2 linked regions of the Struthio camelus genome follow. The protein of the gene in region 1 purifies or fractionates together with the protein of each later gene. This does not show direct contact. Links are inferred from orthologs where the notes say so. Each region holds a gene or a part of one and is shown in the gene's direction. Other genes may lie near its edges.

What was found.
Region 2: the proteins of COP1 (region 1) and SOX2 purify together in Homo sapiens (affinity purification with western blotting; 3 studies listed by BioGRID). This does not show direct contact. The link is inferred for Struthio camelus from reciprocal best matches to the Homo sapiens genes COP1 and SOX2.

What each region holds. Positions count from the first base shown.
Region 1 is NC_090949.1:5,434,485-5,443,985, reverse strand, and holds the start of COP1 (E3 ubiquitin-protein ligase COP1), read left to right. Parts: upstream 1-5,322; coding exon 5,323-5,687; intron 5,688-9,501. UniProt on the Homo sapiens protein: E3 ubiquitin-protein ligase that mediates ubiquitination and subsequent proteasomal degradation of target proteins.
Region 2 is NC_090950.1:23,948,170-23,958,000, reverse strand, and holds SOX2 (transcription factor SOX-2), read left to right. Parts: upstream 1-5,914; 5' UTR 5,915-6,360; coding exon 6,361-7,308; 3' UTR 7,309-8,322; downstream 8,323-9,831. UniProt on the Homo sapiens protein: Transcription factor that forms a trimeric complex with OCT4 on DNA and controls the expression of a number of genes involved in embryonic development such as YES1, FGF4, UTF1 and ZFP206. Binds to the proximal enhancer region of NANOG.

The sequences.
Region 1 (9,501 bases):
AGCTGGAATACATTTCTTTATGTAAGTGTTTCACCCCGATTTTTTGAAATCTTACAGCTCCCTTTTCCAGACTGACTCCATAACCACCAGGGCCAGGCACTTTACTTCTTTAAAACCACCACGAAGCAACATGTTTTAGGCAAACACCAGATCTAAGCAACTGGGACTACAAGAAAACATCAGCTTTTGCAAGCCATGCAGTAAATCATAACAGGTGGCAACATTAAAGACAGATGACTTTTGCTGTCCATAACATAATGGAAAAAGTTCACAGGAGACCTCAGATAGCAGCACACGCTAACGCTCAAAAAAAAAAAAACAATTGCAAAACACTAAATAGACCTGTTCCATACTACAAGGATACATGAACTACATCAGTGTCAATTATATTTTGTGGGAAAGAAATCATCCTGGAGAGAGAGGCCAAATTAATCTTTATTAAAATGAGTCAGTATAGTTACACAAGGAATGAATTTGATCACTGATGTACTTAGGCATGGTGTATTAGCAGAGAGTCATAGCAGTAGTAGCAGCTGAGTTAGGGTGGGGAAGGAGGAGTTAGTTCAGTTTTTTTTAGAAAGCCCACTCGTTGAATAGAAAGACTCTCAGAGAGAAAGTGCACTCCACAAGGCAACCTTAACACTACCCCCGGGCACATGCGCTAATTACAGTGTGGTGTTTAATAAAAAGATAGCATCATTTTTCCCCGTAAAACAGATTTCACAATTCTGAGCAGTGAATCAGGTATTTCTGCTCGTATAGGTCAGAAACAAAGTCAGACCTTCGGTAGCTTCACTTCAGTCTGCACACATTAACATGGAGGTTGCAATAGTATTTCTCGAACAGAGATCTTCGGCTCTCCACAGCACCCGGCAACTTTGGAGATGGTATTTCAATATGGCAGGACATTCCCCAAGTAATTTTAACCTCCTTTTGTAATTCTGTCAAGTCAAAGGCCACTTTAGAAGACCTGAAGGATGTAGCTTGTGGTGAAGGGACCAGACCGCTCCCAGATACCAAGAATTTTTTTTAAGGATCAGAACTTTTTTGATACAATGGTAAATGTTAATATTTTATTTTCCTGCCTCTCCATTTCTTAAAATGGCCAAACCGCTTTTGTTCAGAGTCTCTGCAATTACTTGGAATTAGGCCAAGGGCTAATGCATAAAGTTCCATCTGGAAGTGGTAAAGTGTTGTTATAAAGAACTGAAAAAAATCCTTTGCTAGTAACCGTGCATAACTGTAACTATAATAAATATCACTAAGCACCCTAAGTTGAGGGGAAGCCCTCCACGCTGGGTGCCAGGGCCTGTCTGATCATGCCCTCCAGATCCCCACATCTCTGGGTCGGGCTTCTTGAGTTCAAGTTTGGAAACTCATGTCCAGGTTTCTCCCAGTAAATAGGGGAAGGAGGGTACCTAACAGGTAGAAACTGCATCTTCTGGATAGCTCTGCTGCAGTTTTGCTCGAGGAGAAGTTGCTGACAGCCTAATTTTCAGATTTATGGAGCATTAAGAGTTCTCATCGACTCTGTAACCAGGTGAGGAATCCGTCCATGCTTCATTTTCTTTGGCTAGAAAATGGGAGAAATGGCATTCCTGTCACTGGCTAGCTGGGAGGTTAAAGCTCTCTAAAGCCCTCTGGAGCAGCAATTCCCAAGCCAGGGGTGGCAGGTCATAGCAGCGTTTGCAGCACTGCTGAGTGGACTAACAGACCCAGTGGGAATTAGGTGGCAGCAACGGCCTCAGAAATGGAAGCGTACGGAAGCGTATGGAAGAGTAATTTCCATAATGAGTCACTGGCAATCAGGAGCCGAGCCTGGAGGGGACTGTCACTTCCCACAAACATCTGGCACACACACCCTTTGACGTGGAAAAAGTCGCCGTCCCCCTGGTGACCACATGCAGCATGTTCTCAATTATTTCTCTGGCTGGGCTAGCAGCAGGCATGAGCACTGCAACTGCCTGTTGTTGTAGGTGAATGGTAAATGGAGGTAAATGGAGATGTTGTCGTAAAAGTCACAGACTCAGGGTTTATAACAAGTAGGATTTATGTACCCAGAAGGGCAGAACCTATATTGTTCTTAAGGTTCCTTCAACTATAGACACTATCTGTCTATTCCTTCCTTTAGAGCTGGTGCATCCCTCCTCGCACAGGATAAGAACTAATACACCACTGTTCAGGCCATGGTCAGCAATCAGCTTTGGAGGCTGGAAAATAGAACCATGTAAGAGAAAAGTCTTCTAAAATGTAGAGGCTCTGCACAGATTTCCAAAACAGGAAAGTGCAGGAGAACGTCTCTGTCATATTGGAATTTACTTCAGCTAGGTCTGCAGAGTGAGTAATTACATCTGACCAGAGGTGGGAAATGTCTCTTTCACAAAAGCGATCACTAGACCTACGCTGGCTTGGTACAATACAATCAACTGGAGTTTCAGAGGTAGAGGAAAATCTTTATTATGGTGTTCCTGCAGACCGACACCTGCAGCCAGTCCCCCAAAGCCCCAAACAGTATCAGCCTACTGTGTGCCGGCACCCAAGAGCTATTATTGAATTCCTTGCATTACTCCCAGAGTATCGCTGACAGTATGCACGTCTATTAGAAATATCAGTTTCATTGTATAAAACAAACTCGCCACTAAAGGCTAGGGCTGGAGACAGTTTATCCCACAGTAACTGTCTATTTTGTTTTTTCTCTAAGTTTCAGGGCAGTGACTAACAGTTCTTGTTTACTGCCTGGGCAAGAGGTGCTTGCCTTGCTGTGATCCGCATGCCTTCAAAGGCACACAGGCCCAATGACTAGTTCTTGAGGAGGACATACGAGGGTAATATCCAGATTAAGTGAGGAAACACAAGCAATCCATTGAAGGCAGGTTTGAATCTGAACAGGAATCTAGGAAGAGTGTGCAATATAAGGGTGCGGATATCTCTGCACCGGGCCTCTCGTCACCGCACTAAACCCAGCACCATAGTTTTGCTTAAGTATGGGATCTCAACCATGAGGCAGCGTAAGCGTCCAGCATGCTGCTAACTGGAGGAAACAGCGAAAAACCTCTTACAGCTAATCTATAATATTTTCCTTTTGTATCTCTGCCTTTGAGCCTAATAACAGCGTTGTCAATATTTAGACGGTAGTAAATTAATTCTTAGTGCTCATGTTGTGCTAGCGGGGACTGGAAGATAACCGGCGCTCCACAGCGCTTGCTGTGGTGAACTTTAAAACCAGGAGACTTGCCATGCCCTTTATTCCAGCACAATGCACAGGTGTCGCCGAGAGGTAGCATATAATCTTCCCTTAGGATGCATAAATTGGTCTGGGAACTGGTACTGCAAGGTAACCCCAACAAAGAAACGTTTCGGATGCAGGAGCCAGAGGCTGTTCAGTATATATCAGGGCAGAGAAGAGAAGGTCTTAGCTTCAGGGGCCTCCGAAAGTCCACAGTGAACTCCTAAAAGCTCGAGTATTGGGGAACTGATCTTTTGGTGCTGTGTGCTGGGTTTCACACTCTCTACCAGCCGTGGGGGTGGAGATGTGGCTGTTGAGCCTAACTACACATGGGCAAAAGTGGGCATGATTTGGCCCCTCCATTTCTTTCATATTTATGTTGGATTTCCACTTCTGAATGTTTGATCTTTAAAGGCTTTTCTCTGCGTCATTTTTTTCTCCCTGGAGCTCAGAAAGTAACATGAAGTACCAAAGAATAGCTAGACTTTTCAAAGACCAGCCAATATTTCACTAAACATGAAGCATGTAGACGTGTTATTGCCTATACTACTACTACTGCTACTTTGTTCTTCCACTGGAAAATCTGACAGTCCTTTGCAGACACTCATCCACAAAGCTTTTCCTCCCTCTGGAAGACAAGGACACGGTGCTTTTCTTTCTCTTAGCAAAAGGAAATATGAGGCACACAGACATCAACAGTTGGGCTCAAAGAAAGGTATTTAGGCACTTCTCTTTAACTCCCACTGAAACCAGTGGGAACTGATGTGTTTTAATGACTTTATGGAGTTAGTCCTGTGACTTGCCAAGGTCAGGAGGATATTTATAGAAGGTAGCGGAACAGAATCTTTTGCTTTGAAAAAACACACCAAGAACTACAAACAGGAAACTTTCAATTGCAGCAGCACAGGTTTCAATTACAGAAGTGACTATAATGGCACGTTATCTTGTAGAGGTGAGGCTACTAATCTGAACGATAAGGAGAAGCTTCCTTAGAATTTCCTGGCTTGCACTGATTTATTCTGTACTAACATTCTGCAGACAGACTGTTTTGGTTTTGTTAGACTGTTTCTGGGTGTGTGGGGTTTTTTTTTGTTTGTGTGTTTGTTTTGCAACATTAGGGGTAAGTACACAGAAGCAAATACCTTAAACGTATTTAAACAAGCTTGGAAGGGCAGGTCAGTGACAAGCCCTCCAGGACTGTCCGTGTGCATCAACCCCTCCACATTCAATCCAAGTGCTGTGTTTTGCTGCGCCCTTTTTGGGAAAGCCAGGCGTTCCCGCTGCTTGCCAGAGACTTCTCCGGACCAGCAATGCCTACCTGCAGCCACCTTTTTCTCTCAGACCAGTTTTACCAGCTCTCCTGCTGGTTTTACGCCTGACTGCAGGTGCGCTCGGCCACCTGCGCTCCCAGGACTGCCGCAGCGCGGATCTCTCCGGGCGCTTCCCAGGACCTGGCCTTAGGATTACCCGTCCTCAGGGAAAACGCCCTAGACTTTCAGCAGCCACCTCGCACATCTCTGGGCAGGTGAAAAGCTGACAGCAGACAACAGGCTTGATGTAAAGCAGGCGGGATGCTTCTGGGGGAGAGAAATGAAAGGAGAAATCCGGTCTCTGCCCGCAGCTCTGCCTCCTCGCCCGCCGTCGGGCCAAGCCGAGAGGCGGCAGCGGCCTGTCACCGAGGCCCCTGCCTCAGGCCGGGCCCCGCCGAGGGCCCGGGGCTGGCGCCGACGCGGCCCTCAACCCCTGAAGGCAGCGGGGGGCGGGTAAAGGGAATTTGTTTCCTTTTATAATTCGTGAGCTCCCGTGTGGAGACGGTGCCGTCCGGCGGCGCCGAGCAGGCCCTCAGCACCGCCGCCGCCGCCGCCTCAGCGCCGGAGCAGGCCCCGCCCGGCGGCGGCGCCGCGCGCATGCGCGAGGCAGTGTTCGCCTGTCAATAAAGATTCAACAAGAGGCTAGCGGAGAGGGAGCACGCGCGGGCGTGGGGGCGGCGGCGGTTCCCTCCCCCCCCCCCCCCCCCCTTCTTTGAACGAACTTTATTGTTCCCGCGGCGCCGCGCGGGGATGCGCTGAGGGGGCCCCGCTCCGCCCGGCCTCGGCATGTCGGGCAGCCGCCCGCCGCCGCCGCCGCACCCCGCCGCCGCCGCGCCGCCCGCCGCCGCCGCCTCCCCGGCCGCCGCCTCCTCCTCCTCGGCCATGGCGCCGGGCTCGTCCTCCTCCTCGGCGGCGGCGGCGGGCGGCGCGGCGGCGCGGCCCGTGCTGGTGGCGGCCGCCGTGTCGGGCTCGGGCGCGGGGCTGGCGCGGCTGGCGGCGGCGGCGCGGCCCGGCGGCGGCGGCGCCTCCTCGGCGGGCGGCGGCGGCGGTGGTGGCGGCGCGGGCGGCGGCAGCAGGAAGAGGCCGCTCCTCGCCCCGCTCTGCAACGGGCTCCTCAACTCCTACGAGGACAAGAGCAACGACTTCGTGTGGTGAGCGCGGGGGAGGGGAGCGGGGCGGTGTATCGCGACATAGCGGCGACACGGCGCCCCCTTTCCCGCGGGCGTCGCGGCCTGCTGCGCGCGGCCGGGCCGCCCCGGGGCCGCCGCCGAGAGCGCTGGCCGGGTCTGGGGGGGCCCCGCGGGGGGGCCCTGCCCGGCTCGCCGGGGTGGAAGGTGTGTTGGGGTCTGTAACTGTCCTGCAGGGATTTCTGGCTCTCCCCCCTCCTCCCCCGCCTTGTGACTGTGTTTGGTTGCTTTTTTGGCTCTTTGTATCAGTGTTGTGATGCGTGTGTGTCTTTGTTTTTTTTTTTGTTTTTTTAAAAAACAAAAACAAACAAAAATTCAGGTTAGTCCCAGAAGGTTCCTGTCTCGTTCGGCGGGTTAAGCCTCAGCGCAGCGGAACTTGCGCTCGTTGGAAAGGGCCTGCGACGCTAAGCGGTTTTTCATAGCCTGTTGACATCGCAAGCAAATGTTTCTTTTTTCCTTTTTTTTTTTTTTTTTCTCCCAGGCAGTGTAGCCTTGAAAAGGACTAGAGCAGCTCCAGCCTCTTGCACGTGCGATGGCCTCTCTGGAGGGAGGCTAGGTCTTCTTACTGCCCCTTTATGACCTTATGAAAAGAAAGAGTCCTCAGAGGACTTCTGTGCTTATGCAGATGAGGATCTGAAAATAAGTCCCCTGGTCACTGATATTGGAGGCAGTTAATAGTGCTCACAAAATTGGCATGAGTTTTTCCTCTGTTGCTGGGAAAGGACAGCTAACTTGAAGTAATAATAGTATTTGTATCAGGTATCGATCTGTCATCTAAAACCAGATGAGTAGAAACTTTCTGCGATGATGGGATAAAGATTTTCCTTGAAGCCATTCAGATGCTGTTTTTCTAATGTTTGGCCAAAACTGTATGTTGTAATTGGTAATAACTTTTCTGCAAAAGTGGTAGGCCTCGCTATATTTGGTTTGAGAGCTGTTGGTAATATGCAGCTTTAAAAAGATGCTATTGCTTATGGGCTTCAAACCTCCTGACATAAGGAGTAAGTTTAATTTTATATATGACTAGATGTATATTAAAAACGCAAGAACAGAAAATGAGGGTAGGTGGTAGCATCTGAGAGAGATAAACACTGATGAAGAGATATTAGAAACAAACTTGTTTTATTGAAAAGTCACATATGTGAAAGAAATGATTAAAAAGAAAAGTGGATAAAAGTAGGTAACAGCTTCCAAGACCGTCTTGTTTGCTCATTCTAACTTTTGGATGCAGATTAGGTATTCGGCATCTCCACAGGAGAGGCACTCTAGCAAAACCTGGCAAACTTGATCTTGCAAACCTTGTAAACCCTATAGGAGACTAGATGGGAAATATAATCCCTGTTACTAGAAGGAGAACCTGAAGCTGCTGAAAAGCTAGTCACCGAAAGAAGAGCAACAAGCAATAATCAAGAATTCCTCCTTACCACTGTAAGTAGTGGTTTGCCCAGTAGCAGAATTAGGATTAGAGTGTAGCCTTAGTCGGCTGGCTTCCTGCTCTGCCTAAATGCTAGGCCATGATAAGTGGATTTAGGACACCTAGTTTGGGAGATGGTTGTATTGTTGTTTCTTGCATGTTTTCTGGTCGTGGGAGATAAGTGTCCCTATCTGTTTGCCTCCACTACAGTTATGCTCTGGCAGTAGTGGTGTGCAATCATTTCCTTTCCTCTTCTAGTCGGTTTTCACTTAATGTTTTCTTGCTCATAGAAATAAGGGAGTTTGAACCAGGGGGAAATTAAGTCTAGCGCAATAAGTTCTTTTCTTTTTTTTTTTTTTTGATGACAGTTGAAATGTTTTAAGTCAGTTCAAAAAGCTCAGTTTCTTAGTTCTTTTTTTCCCCACAGGTAGGTTCTGTGCAAACTTCAAAAATAACGCATATAATTAGCTCTATTCCTCTCGGTGAAGAGTGTTGCTGGCTGAACAAAGCGTGAGAAGAAAAAGTTAACAGAATAGTGATCTGGGCAAAACTTTTTTTTTTCTTTCCCCTCTCTTCTTTTTTCCTGTCTCCTCCTTACTGGTGTTCACAAGAGAACCGTGCTGGGCATATTTGCGTGCAGATCAGCAGCTTCAAGGGCAAATAGTGATTATAGCTCCCTTGTCTGGTCCTTCATTGGCATGCACTTCATTGGGCAGTGTAGCTTCTTCTTCCTTATGTTAATGTTAGCTTCAAATTACAGCATTACTTTTAACAAAAGTTATTTTTGAGGTAGCATTATATTTATGCAGTATAGAAATAAAACTCAGCTGGGTAGCTTTGGAATTTTGAGCAAGGTCCAAGAAGACAGGTGTGTGTTTGTTTAAATACTTGATTTAAATAAGCTTTGGATATTTCAGTCTGAGAGGCAAAATTTTCCCGTCTGCCATCCTCTCTATAAGGATACTTTCTGGACGCTGCCTGCTGCAGGGAGCACTCGATAATCTTTCTGAACACAGGCTATGAATTACTCTTTAGTGTTGCAACTGTAAACACTGTGATAGGTTCTGCCTGCATCAGACTGAAATTGGGAAAGAATAAAGAAGTTCGTGTGAGTTGTGTACACGAAAGCGCATGTGGAAATACTGCAAGTAGTGTTAATGTGCACAACCTGTCTGCCTGTTTCTTGAAACTGCTCTCTCAGCAGTGTGAGGTCTAGGCTTTGACACTAATGTTGGCATACGCTGCTAGTCTGGACTGTGAATTGTTTAGCAAATACTGTGCTCTCTGGAGTTCTCAAAGGTGTACCTTTTGTAGTATATTCCAGCTTCTGCCTGGAAGTGCATAACTCTAGACCAGAGAAGCACATATATCTGACTTGCTAGACCCTTTATTGTAACAGGGGAAACTTTGTTTTCATAGGTCTAGGATGTAGAATTGAAACAGATTTTTGTCCCGCTCCTATAGTGAGGTCTCTTTCCAGTTGCCTGGAGAGTATCTGGAGTGGAATGCTCTGATCGGAGCGTTTTCTCCTATCCAGCATGTAATTGGCTACGTTTTTTCCAGACCTTACATTAGTCAACTGCTAATTGGGAGGGTTAAACCTCTCTAAAACCAGTTAGGATCTGCCTAGCTTCCTGGACAGAGAGTGTCTTCTGGGAGCTATAGGCTCCTTTCAGTGACTGTTTTATACCAGTGCTTGTTTCTCAGTTCTGGCGTAAATAAGAACACGGCAAAGTAGACATTGCTTGGTGTACCTCTCAAGGTCTGTATACAGACCTTGAATGTTGAAAGCACTGTTTTCCATGCCTAGAAGTGACTAAAAGTCTGCATTACAGCACCATATCAAAAATAGGTCTACCTGTTGATACTAATGCCGAGCATGGACTGAGTAGAATTTTTCACATGCTTGTGTTCTTGTGAGTTCCTCTAATACTGCAGTTTGACCCGGGAGGTCACAAAGTAAAAACGCAGCAGGCTGTTTACATAACATGTACAATGATGGAATTTTATAATTTCTATTATTATATTGGAGCTTCTTATTGAGTAGATAGGGATGGCAGTGTCCTTTAACCTGGGCATGTTCTGAGTAAAGTACAGAGCCTGTATCCTGCTCTCTTCCTGCTCTCTTCTTAGGCCAAAGAAGAACAGAACAGAAGGGAGAAGCTGATGGGTCTTGCTTGCAGTGAAACAGAAGGGAATGTGAAACATGTTTAAAGTTTATCCTGAACATTTAAGCCATGTTCAGGTAGCAAGGGGGTGACAGTAAGGTAAAAATCTTGAGAATGACACCTTGAAAACGGCTGATAAGACTAAGAGGCGTGAACTTGGTTAGAATGATTAAGAAACACTTGACCTACCCTGATA
Region 2 (9,831 bases), on another chromosome or scaffold:
TCCCCGCTGGTCGCACACACAGTCGTGGTCTAAGCCGGAGTGAAGGCTGCAGAGGAGGTGGCAGGGCTCATGCCCGCACCCAGGGCTGCTCCCTGCCGACCTTTGCTACCTCGGTGGGGCTCCCTCGCCTCCCTGCAATGCTCCCGGGCTTCCTCCTTTAAAAGCTCTTTCAGGTCTTTGGATGGAGGACCCTGGATAGACACATGGGGAAGTGTTGTTGTTGTTATTTATAGCACCGTCCCTCTGCTCCGATTAAGCGCCGTCTAAATATGAATTCACAGTATAGACAGCTAGTCTATAATTTGAATTAAAATCCCCCCGGCGAGCCAGTCGCTGGAGAATTCTGAAATCACAAGTCTAACTTGACACAATGAAGCCCATGGTGTCAATAAACCATGGATGAGATGGAGAGATTGTCACTCCAGACCATAACAGTTCTGAAAGTGTCATTACCGTCTGTCCTGTCAATGAGCTCCAAATTAAGGACTATGAGGAACGCAGCGAGATAAAAGTCACCGTCTTGGTTCCATTATGGGCGATCGTGTCAGTGATCTGTGAATCACTGGAAAGGGCTTTTTTTTTTTTTTAATGTACTTTTCAATCCATGCCTCGGGATTCCAGGGTTTGTTGAGGTGCACTGAGGAGAGAAGCATCCTTGAAGTACCCCAGGCTGTGTGTCATGCGTTTCCATTGAAATTGTAAGAGCTTCTTTGGGAATCGTTGTGATTTCAATGGAGGGGCCAGAATAATTCCATCAAAACTGCGCTATGTCCAAAAGGACTTCATTTGATTTGGGTGACACTTGTGATCTCAGGGACAGATACTTTCTTACACCGTGTTTTTCTTAAAACAATACAAAGAGGGTGAAGGGGGAGAGGGAAATAAAATAGCAACCTAAACTTCAGCAAAAGACAATGGGTTTATCTTTAAGATATCTCCTTCCAGGCATTAAGACTTCCTGAAAATGTCTCAAACTCTATCTTCTCCAAGCCTGAGAGAGTTAAGGAGACTTATTCAGGAATTGGAAACCTTCATTTCTGAGGTTTTTTGCCTTTGTGGGTTTAAGCAAAGCAGTTAGCGTTCTTCAGGAGGGGTTTTGTGTTTAATATACATGAGTTCATTCAACTACAATGGCAAAAGAAAACTCATTTGTTCTTATAAAACTAGGAAGGAAAGATAACTTTAGACTGCCAAAAAAGATCCTGTTCAAGGGGGCTGCGTTCCTGGAAAAGGGCCTGCAATTCAACTGTAATTTCACCCTGTTATATTGTGCAGTAATTTCTGAGTTTATCCTCAGCACTGGTGCTTGATTTTCTGTTTTATTTTGGGGGTCATGTAGCAAAAAAAAAAGGGGGGGATGAGGGGGAGGACTTTAGTTATACTCTCCTCTGGGAAGAAAGTCCAGGGAGTGTTATTTTAGATGCATAGAAAAAAAATCGCAGGGAGTTTGAGAAGGCTGTTGGCTATTTATGACGAGTCCTGGAAGAGTGTTTGGACAATCGGCTTCTCCATTTATTGAGAAGCCCTTTGAAAGCGACTTTGAGAGGTGGTGTGTGTGAGCCGGCTTTGCTGCTGTTTATTGTGTACGTTAAACACGTCTGAGGAGGTTTCTCTATTTTTTATTTTTATTTTTTTAATTTTGCCTCTGGTAGCACTGCAGAAAGGTGGACACGGATTTTTTTTTTTAACCTCCCCGCGTTTTTTTTTTTTTTAACGCCATAAAAATCAACAGCTGAGCGCTGGTTCGCGGGCCGGTAGCCGGGAGGGGAGGTGGCAAGCGGGCCGCTCGGAGGGCGCGGAGCTGCCGCTTCCCCCGGGGGCCCGGGGCGGCCCGGCCGCGGCGCGGGGGAGCCGCGGGGCGACGGCCCCGGCCGTGCGCTCGCCGCCCGGCCGCACGTGCGCTCGCCCTTAGGTTTCATTAGGGAGAATTAGGATGAAAGAGGAGCCCGGGGAGGAATGCCGAGCTGCCTCGGCATTCCCCAGCTTTCAAGGGTCCTTAGAGCCCTTGAATGAAATTATTGGGTGAAATTGGGTCTGGCTGGAGCATTTGTTACTCGCCCCCCTCGGTCGTTTGTACATATAATGCCACTTCTGAGAATGACAATCGGGCTACTTGCTGGACAGGCAGGGACAAAAAGCAGATTAAACCGTTTTAAATAATAATAAAAAATATCCAAAATGTAAGCAGAGTGGATTACACTTGCTCCAGCGCCTCGGTTCCCCCCAATTCCCCTAAGAGTCACCCTCGCCCTCGGGCCTCTCGGAGAGGAGGCCCTCGGCGCCGGGGGGGGGGAATCGGGGAGCTGAGACAGCCCCACTGCGGAGCGGGTGCGGAGCAGTGTGCGCAGCACCGCCGCCGCGCTAGATGCGGCCTCTGCCAACTGTTGAAGTTTGCCTGAGCCCGTTTCAGCGCCCCGCGGTCGCTGCCGGGCCCCGACGGACGCTCCCGCGGACGGGCGGTGTTTGCTCGGCTGCGGGAATCCCGCGCTTTCCGCGCCTGGTGGCGGCCGGGGCCGCAGGGCCCTTCCTGCGAGCCACCCGGCCCCGGCCCCTTCGGTGGGTTTATACCCACTCGCCGTGGGTGTTTCTTAGAGCGTTCAAGGGCATTTCTGCCCACCTTTCCCTCTGGATGCTACCGCAGATTCACCAGGTGATATTTGAAATTCCCCAGAGACAGGGGTATGGCTAGCGTGGTGAAACTTCCTTGGCTAACTTTAGCTCCTGTGTGATGAGCTGGTACAGAATTAGAGGGGGAAGAGGAAATTTCTCTGTACATTTTCGTCTTCAGATTTTTTTTTTAATGTAATGAAATTAAAACTTTTGGAGCTCACAGCTGACATTTTGCAGAAAATTGAGTTATCAAGGCAGTAATTATTTCACAGGGAGATAAAACTCTCATAGCCCTAACTGTCAAATAGGGCCCTTTTCAGATTTTAATTACAAAATAAAATTAGTCTGCTCTTCCTCGGAAGGGTTTGTGAGTGGCTAAACAGAGCTTTCCCCAATACTGGTGGTCGTCAAACTCTGCTAATTAGCAATGCTGAGAAATTCCAGTTAACAAGGACATTCTCTAAGTCTCTGCAGGTTCCCTGCCGTTCGCCTTCATTTCCATAAGAAGATTAAGAGTGGAGGGGAACACACTCAAATGCAGATGCAGAAAAGAAGCGTTTTTAACAAGCATCATAATAGTAAGATGCTTGGCTAGTTCTCACCTAATTACTGCAAGTTAAACCTCTATTTGCAGCTAAGGACAAAAAATGGAGCTGCAATCTTCCATCTCCACAAGACTGCTTAATAGTTTGCTTTAGATGGGTTACTGGTAGGTTCAGGAAAAAGAATATGAAAATGGGTATATTCTTTCTGATACAGTTAACACGATAGGTTGTATCCTCAGGGTTTTTAAAGAAAGCAGCGAGTATCAGAACAATAAAAACATAAAATTCAAGTAGCTAGCATTCATCTTCTTTTTCAGAAACTCATAACCTGGAAATAAAAGTGAATGTGCCGTAGAGCCCACCATTGAGAACATTTGCAGACTATTTGTTTAAGCACTTTTCATTTCCATAAATTATACCAAAGGCAAAGATTTTTTAAATCCACCCAGATTAAACCATCCCTCTGCAGGCCTCCCTTTCAACGTGTCTATATTCTTCCAGAGAGTGGTGGTGGTATTGTTATTAATACAGAAAAATGAGGTACCGTTTCCTCCTTTTATTTTATAGTCAGCATCCCAATCTGTCTATACTTCTGTGTGTCTGTGTACACATATGCAGCCAAACACCTATATAAGCAGAGGAAAGGGAGAAAATGTTCTAAAAGAGGTCTCGCCCTTATCTTATTTTCTATAGCGCGTTATTATGTATATATGACAGACAGAGTTTATTGCGTCGATAAGTAAAAGAGTTAATTAAAATAAAGCTGTAAATACTCCCGATAACACAATTGTTGGGTATTTCCACCCCTTATTTGTGTGATAAATACAGTTAAGGAAGGGCTGGGCCGGGCCGGGCCAGGCCCCGGAGCCGCTCCAGCACACGCAGCCCGGCCCGGCCCGGCCCGGCCCGGCCCGCCGCAGCTACCGCGCGAGCGAAAAGAAGACTTGCTTGTGCACCACCAGCCCTCAGTTATCAATTCAGTACGAAAAACAAACACCACTGCCACCCACCCCACCCCCTTTTTTCAAACTTAATTATCCCTGAGATTTTTTTGGAATAACGTTATCAACTGCAGACCCAAGCGTAAACAATAAGAAAGTAAATAGCCGTTGTGCCCTCAGGAGGGTCTGGACAATCAGAACCCGTTTATTTCCTGGATCTCATAATTTCTACCTATTTTTCCATGGTTACCCTGTCACTTATCTAGGGGTTCTATATACATTTTCGAATTAGACACATTAAATCCGATCGGATTTATTTGCATAACCCACAAAAAGATGCATCCGTGCTGCTGGCGTATTCTTATATGTATGTACGTATATAGTGCTATTATTTAGATGGCATGTCATTACCGGCTCCTTCCCCCCCCCTTTCCCTTCCCGCTCTCACGCCGCTTTCCCGCGGCACCTCCCGGCGGGGCGCGGGCGCAGCCAGCAGGGGGCGCCGCCGCGCCGCGCCTGAGCGCCGCGCGGGGCCGCGGACGGGGCCGCGGACGGGGCCGGGGCCGCGGCGCTGCCCCACGGCGCTGCCCCTTCCCCCGCCGGGTTCCGCGGGCTCTGCCGCCTCCGCGGAAAATCACCCTGCCCGCGGATCCCCCGCGGCCTAAAGATGTGAGGGGTGCTCGGATTTGGGGCAAAAAAGCCGGAGCGGGGGTGGGGTGGCGGGGAGGGGAGGGGAAGGCCCGTCGGTGGGGCAGGCGCGGAGCGGGGCCCGCGGCTGCTCGCCGCCGCGCTGGGGCGGGCGCGGGGCCGCGGGCGGCGGGGCCGGCGTGAGGCTCCCCCCTCTCCCGCTCTTCTTCCTCCTTTCCCCTCCTTTCTTTGTCGTCAAGTGCGTTTTAGCAACAAAGATCCCAACAAGAGAGTGGAAGTAAACTTAGCCGCCGCTTTGTTTGGCCCCGTGTAGTGACAACAAGGGAAACAAAACTACCTATTTGTAACGGCCTCGCCGCGGCTCTGCCCCCCCCCCCGCCCGGCCGGCCGCTGCGCCCCGGCGGAGCTGCGCTCGCCACCACGGGCGCGGGGTAACGCTGCGCCGCGGCCCGGCCCGGCCCGGGGCTCCCCGCCGCCGCCAGCCCCGCCGAGGGGTGCCCCCCCCTCCCTTGGCTTCCGTGGGCACGGCGTTTGGGGCACCCCCTCCCCTGCCGCGGCTGCACCGGGCACCTTCCCTCCCCCCCCCCCGGCGTTTCCCGAAGCCGGAGGAGGGAGGGAAGGGCTCGGCGCTGTGTGCCAAGGTTTGAACGGAGCCGGGCTCGGGGCAAGGGAAGCGGGAAGGGCGCAGGTTGTGCCCGGGCTGCCCGGCCGGGGGGCTGCGCTTTTGGGGGTGAGGGGGGATGAGGGGTCAGCGCGGGCGGAGCCGGCCGCGGCGAGCGCTGCACACGCAGGTCGCCGCCGCCCGCGGGCCCAGCGCAGCCGGGCGGCCCCGCCGCGCCGAGGGGCGCCGGCCCAGGGGGGACGGGGGCGGGGGGAAGCCATCGCCGCTCTGCTCCCTCCATGGCTTCCCCCAGCCCCAAGCCAACACCAACTTATAAAAAAAAAATGTAGCAACAATGCTGTTTACCCACTTCCTCCAAAAGGCGTGTGTGACCTGTTGCTGGAAGGGGAGATACAAAGGCTTCCCAGTGGCTGCCTGGGCCGCCTCTGGGCCCGCCCCCCCCCGCCGCGCCGTCCCGGCGGCGCCGAGCCCCCGCCCCGTTTCATGCAAAACCAGGGGTAGAGACTTGTCCTCAGTGGAGGAGCCGCCGCGCGCTGATTGGCCAGGGCGAACACATTTATTCCCTGACAAGCCCCCATCACATGGATGGTTGTCTATTAACTTGTTCAAAAAAGTATCAGGAGTTGTCAAGGCAGAGAGAGAGAGTGTGTGTGTTTGCAAAAGGGGGTAAAGTAGTTTGCTGGCTCTTTAAGACTGAGGTGGAGAGAGAGAGAGAGAGAGAGAGAGAGAGAGAAAGAGGCAGACAGAGAAAAGGGAAAAAGGAGGAAGAAGTTTTTTAAAATCGAGGCTCCGGCAGTAATAATAGCAGTTATTAGCATTATTAATCCATCAGCGAAGAGGAAGATTCTGATCTTGATCCAAGTGTGGTTTTGGGGAGTCCCCCTCCCCCCTTTCCTACCCCTCCCTAGGAAAAAAAAAAAGTCCGGCTTGGGACTTTGCTGCCGCTGCTCCTCGCTTCTCTGCTCAAGGCTGGTTCCAGGCAAAAGTAGTTTGAATGTACAACATGATGGAAACCGAGCTGAAACCTCCCGCCCCCCAGCAAACTTCGGGGGGAGGCACAGGCAACTCCAACTCGGCCGCCAACAACCAGAAGAACAGCCCGGACCGGGTCAAGCGGCCCATGAACGCGTTCATGGTGTGGTCCCGCGGGCAGCGGCGGAAAATGGCCCAGGAGAACCCGAAGATGCACAACTCCGAGATCAGCAAACGGCTCGGGGCCGAGTGGAAACTTTTATCCGAGGCGGAAAAGAGACCCTTCATTGACGAAGCCAAGCGGCTCAGAGCTCTGCACATGAAGGAGCACCCGGATTATAAATACCGACCCCGGAGGAAAACCAAGACCCTCATGAAGAAGGATAAGTACACGTTGCCAGGGGGCTTACTGGCGCCGGGCACCAATACCATGACGACTGGGGTAGGGGTTGGGGCCACCTTGGGAGCTGGGGTGAACCAGCGGATGGACAGTTACGCGCACATGAACGGCTGGACCAACGGAGGCTATGGGATGATGCAAGAGCAGCTCGGCTACCCGCAGCACCCGGGCTTGAACGCGCACAACGCGGCGCAGATGCAGCCCATGCACCGCTACGACGTGAGCGCCCTGCAGTACAACTCCATGACCAGCTCGCAGACCTACATGAACGGCTCGCCCACCTACAGCATGTCCTACTCGCAGCAAGGCACCCCGGGCATGGCCCTGGGCTCCATGGGCTCGGTGGTCAAGACGGAATCCAGCTCCAGTCCCCCCGTAGTCACTTCCTCGTCTCATTCAAGGGCTCCTTGCCAAGCGGGGGACCTCCGGGACATGATCAGCATGTATCTACCAGGTGCTGAAGTACCAGAACCAGCTGCCCCAAGCAGACTTCATATGTCCCAACACTACCAGAGTGCACCTGTTCCTGGCACAGCCATTAATGGCACACTCCCTCTATCGCATATGTAAGACAAAGGGGCCGGGGGTGGGGGAAAGGAAAACTAAACAAAACAAACAAACAAAAAACTTTTATTAGAAATTCTGGACTTTTTTTTTTTTTGGACTATTTTTGTACAGAGAAAACTGGGGGCGGGGAGGGGGGGGAGAAATAAAACCGACGAGGAACTTGTATAGATCTTGGAGGGGAAGCAACTACACAAAACTTTTAAAAAGTTCTAGTGAAAACGGTAGGAACTTTGCAGAAAGTTTGCAAAAGTCTTTACCAATAATATTTAGAGCTAGACTCAAAGAGCGAAGAGGAAAATGTTTTAATATTTGCAGGCAACTTTTGTACAGTATTTATCAAAGTAAACATGGCAATCAGAATGTCCATTGGTAATATAGAGAGGGAAAAAAAACAACTCGAGAATTTGCCAATTATTTTTTAAAAATAGAGTCTACTTGGAGCATTGTGACTTTGGCAGCTGAATTTATAGCAGCTGCGAGAGGAGAGGAAATTATTTTACAGCATTTGGACATTTAAATTGTTTTAGAAATTGTACAAAAGGCAAAAAGGTAGGACGAGTACTTGCGAACCATGGGCTTGGTTTGCTATAAAAGGGCAAACGTTTAGCTTGTACTAAATTTTTTTTTTTTTACTTCTTGTTAAAAAGCAAAAATTGCCATGCAGGTTCACACGCCGTTTGTTAATTTATAATAACTTTTTGTTTCCAGACTTCATCCTGTTCAGAGAAAAGAAAAAGAAAAAAAAACCAACCTGAAATTACTGTGTTTGAAATATTTTCTTATGGTTTGTAATATTTCTGTAAATTTATTGTGATGATATTTTAAGTTCTTTTTTTTCTCATTTTCCGTAGTTGTATTTTAAAGATTCGGCTCTGTATTATTTGAAATCAGTCTGCCGACAGTCCATGTATATATTTGAACTAATACCATCCTTATAACAGGTACATATTCAAGTTAAGTTTTTACTCCATTATGCACAGTTTGAGATAAATAAATTTTTGACATATGGACACTGAAGTTACGCTTGAGTCTTGGATTTATTTTTGTAATGCAAGATTTTTTTTTTTAATAATTCATGCAGTAGAAAGTGGTATCGTTGTGAGCAGCTGAGTATTGTAAATAATACAGCAATATATATATTACACATGCATATATTTTTTATAGCTATATATAAAGTACAGTAGCTTTAAGTAGGTAACTGAAGGTGACTGCTTTGCAGGGACGGGAATGTGGAGTAACACGGTCTGTTCCAGATTCCCTTCCCCTTCGCAAGGAGGGCGCGGAGCGCGATGGGGTGAAAGGACGTTTCGGACTCGCCGTTTGGGACCACTTGTTGCCTCGGCGGGGCCGCGGCCGAGCCGGAGGGCTGCGCGGAGCCGAGCCGCGGCAGGAGGCGGCGGCGGCGCGGTGAGAGGGCCCAGGCGCCCCGTTTACGGGTCTCGAGCATTGATAATTTCTCTCGTTTCCCCCCCGGTGCTTTCTGCCGTGGGGCAGGCAGGAGGCAGTGGCTGGGGGCCGTTCCGCGGCGCTGGCGGGGTGGGAGCTCGCCCCTTTGTTCGGGGCTCCCAAACTTTCTGCTGCCGCTTTGGGGCAGCGCAGGAGGAGGTGAGCGGTGGGGCGGGGGTGGGGGGGAGCTCGGCCGGGTGGAGGTGAGCAACAGCAAAAAGCGAACAAACAAAACGAAATTAGAAGAAAAAGAAAAGTCGAATGTCGGAGACCTTCACGCTTTATCATAGCTCTCTCTTGAATCCTATTTCTTAACTTGCCAGCGCGGTGTAGCCCCAATTTGGACAGTCTCTGCAGCCGGTCACAGCCCCAAAGAGAAGCGGTGGCGCCCGCCAAATGGGAGGAGAGCTCCGCCAGCTCGGTCAGGTAGAGTTTCACTTTGTACCCTTGTAAGGGCCAGAGCCGGGGCGGAAGCTGCGCGGCCCTGCGCGGAGCCGCCGCCGGGAGGGCCCAGCGGAGCGCGGCGCGGGGGGCGGCGGAGCGGTGCGGAGCGGAGGCCCGTTTCCCCCCTGCAGCCCGGCTGCTGACAGGGCTGGGGTTTCTTTGGGGTAACGTGGGTAAGCGAGAGGCAAGTGGTGATAGTAATAAGACAGTGAAATTGGGGGCAGCGCGGTGGAAGCCGTGCCCTGGCTGGGCCGGTCTGTGGTGCGCGGTGCGTAGCGCGGAGAGGAGCTGAGGGTTTGCTCGAGCGAGGCACAGAGCGGGTTTCCGCACCGGGAGCAAGTGTTGCTCCGTTTTCCTTTCTAGTATTTTTGTTTCGGTAACTGAATTGCACTTTAACTCAGGAAGGAAGGAAGTGAGAAAGTGAAAAAATCACACACACACACACACACACACATACAAAGTTACCTGGTTGGTCGTGGCTTTTTTTTGGTAGTGCTATTTCCTAGGTTCGCTTCTGGCCTCCAGGCTTGGTGCCTGGTGTCCAGATGAAAACTAAAATTGCCAGACTACGAGTATGTGGAGTTTTGCTCTCTGTCGGTTTATGTAGTTTAGCTCCCTTTGTCCCTTTTATTTCTG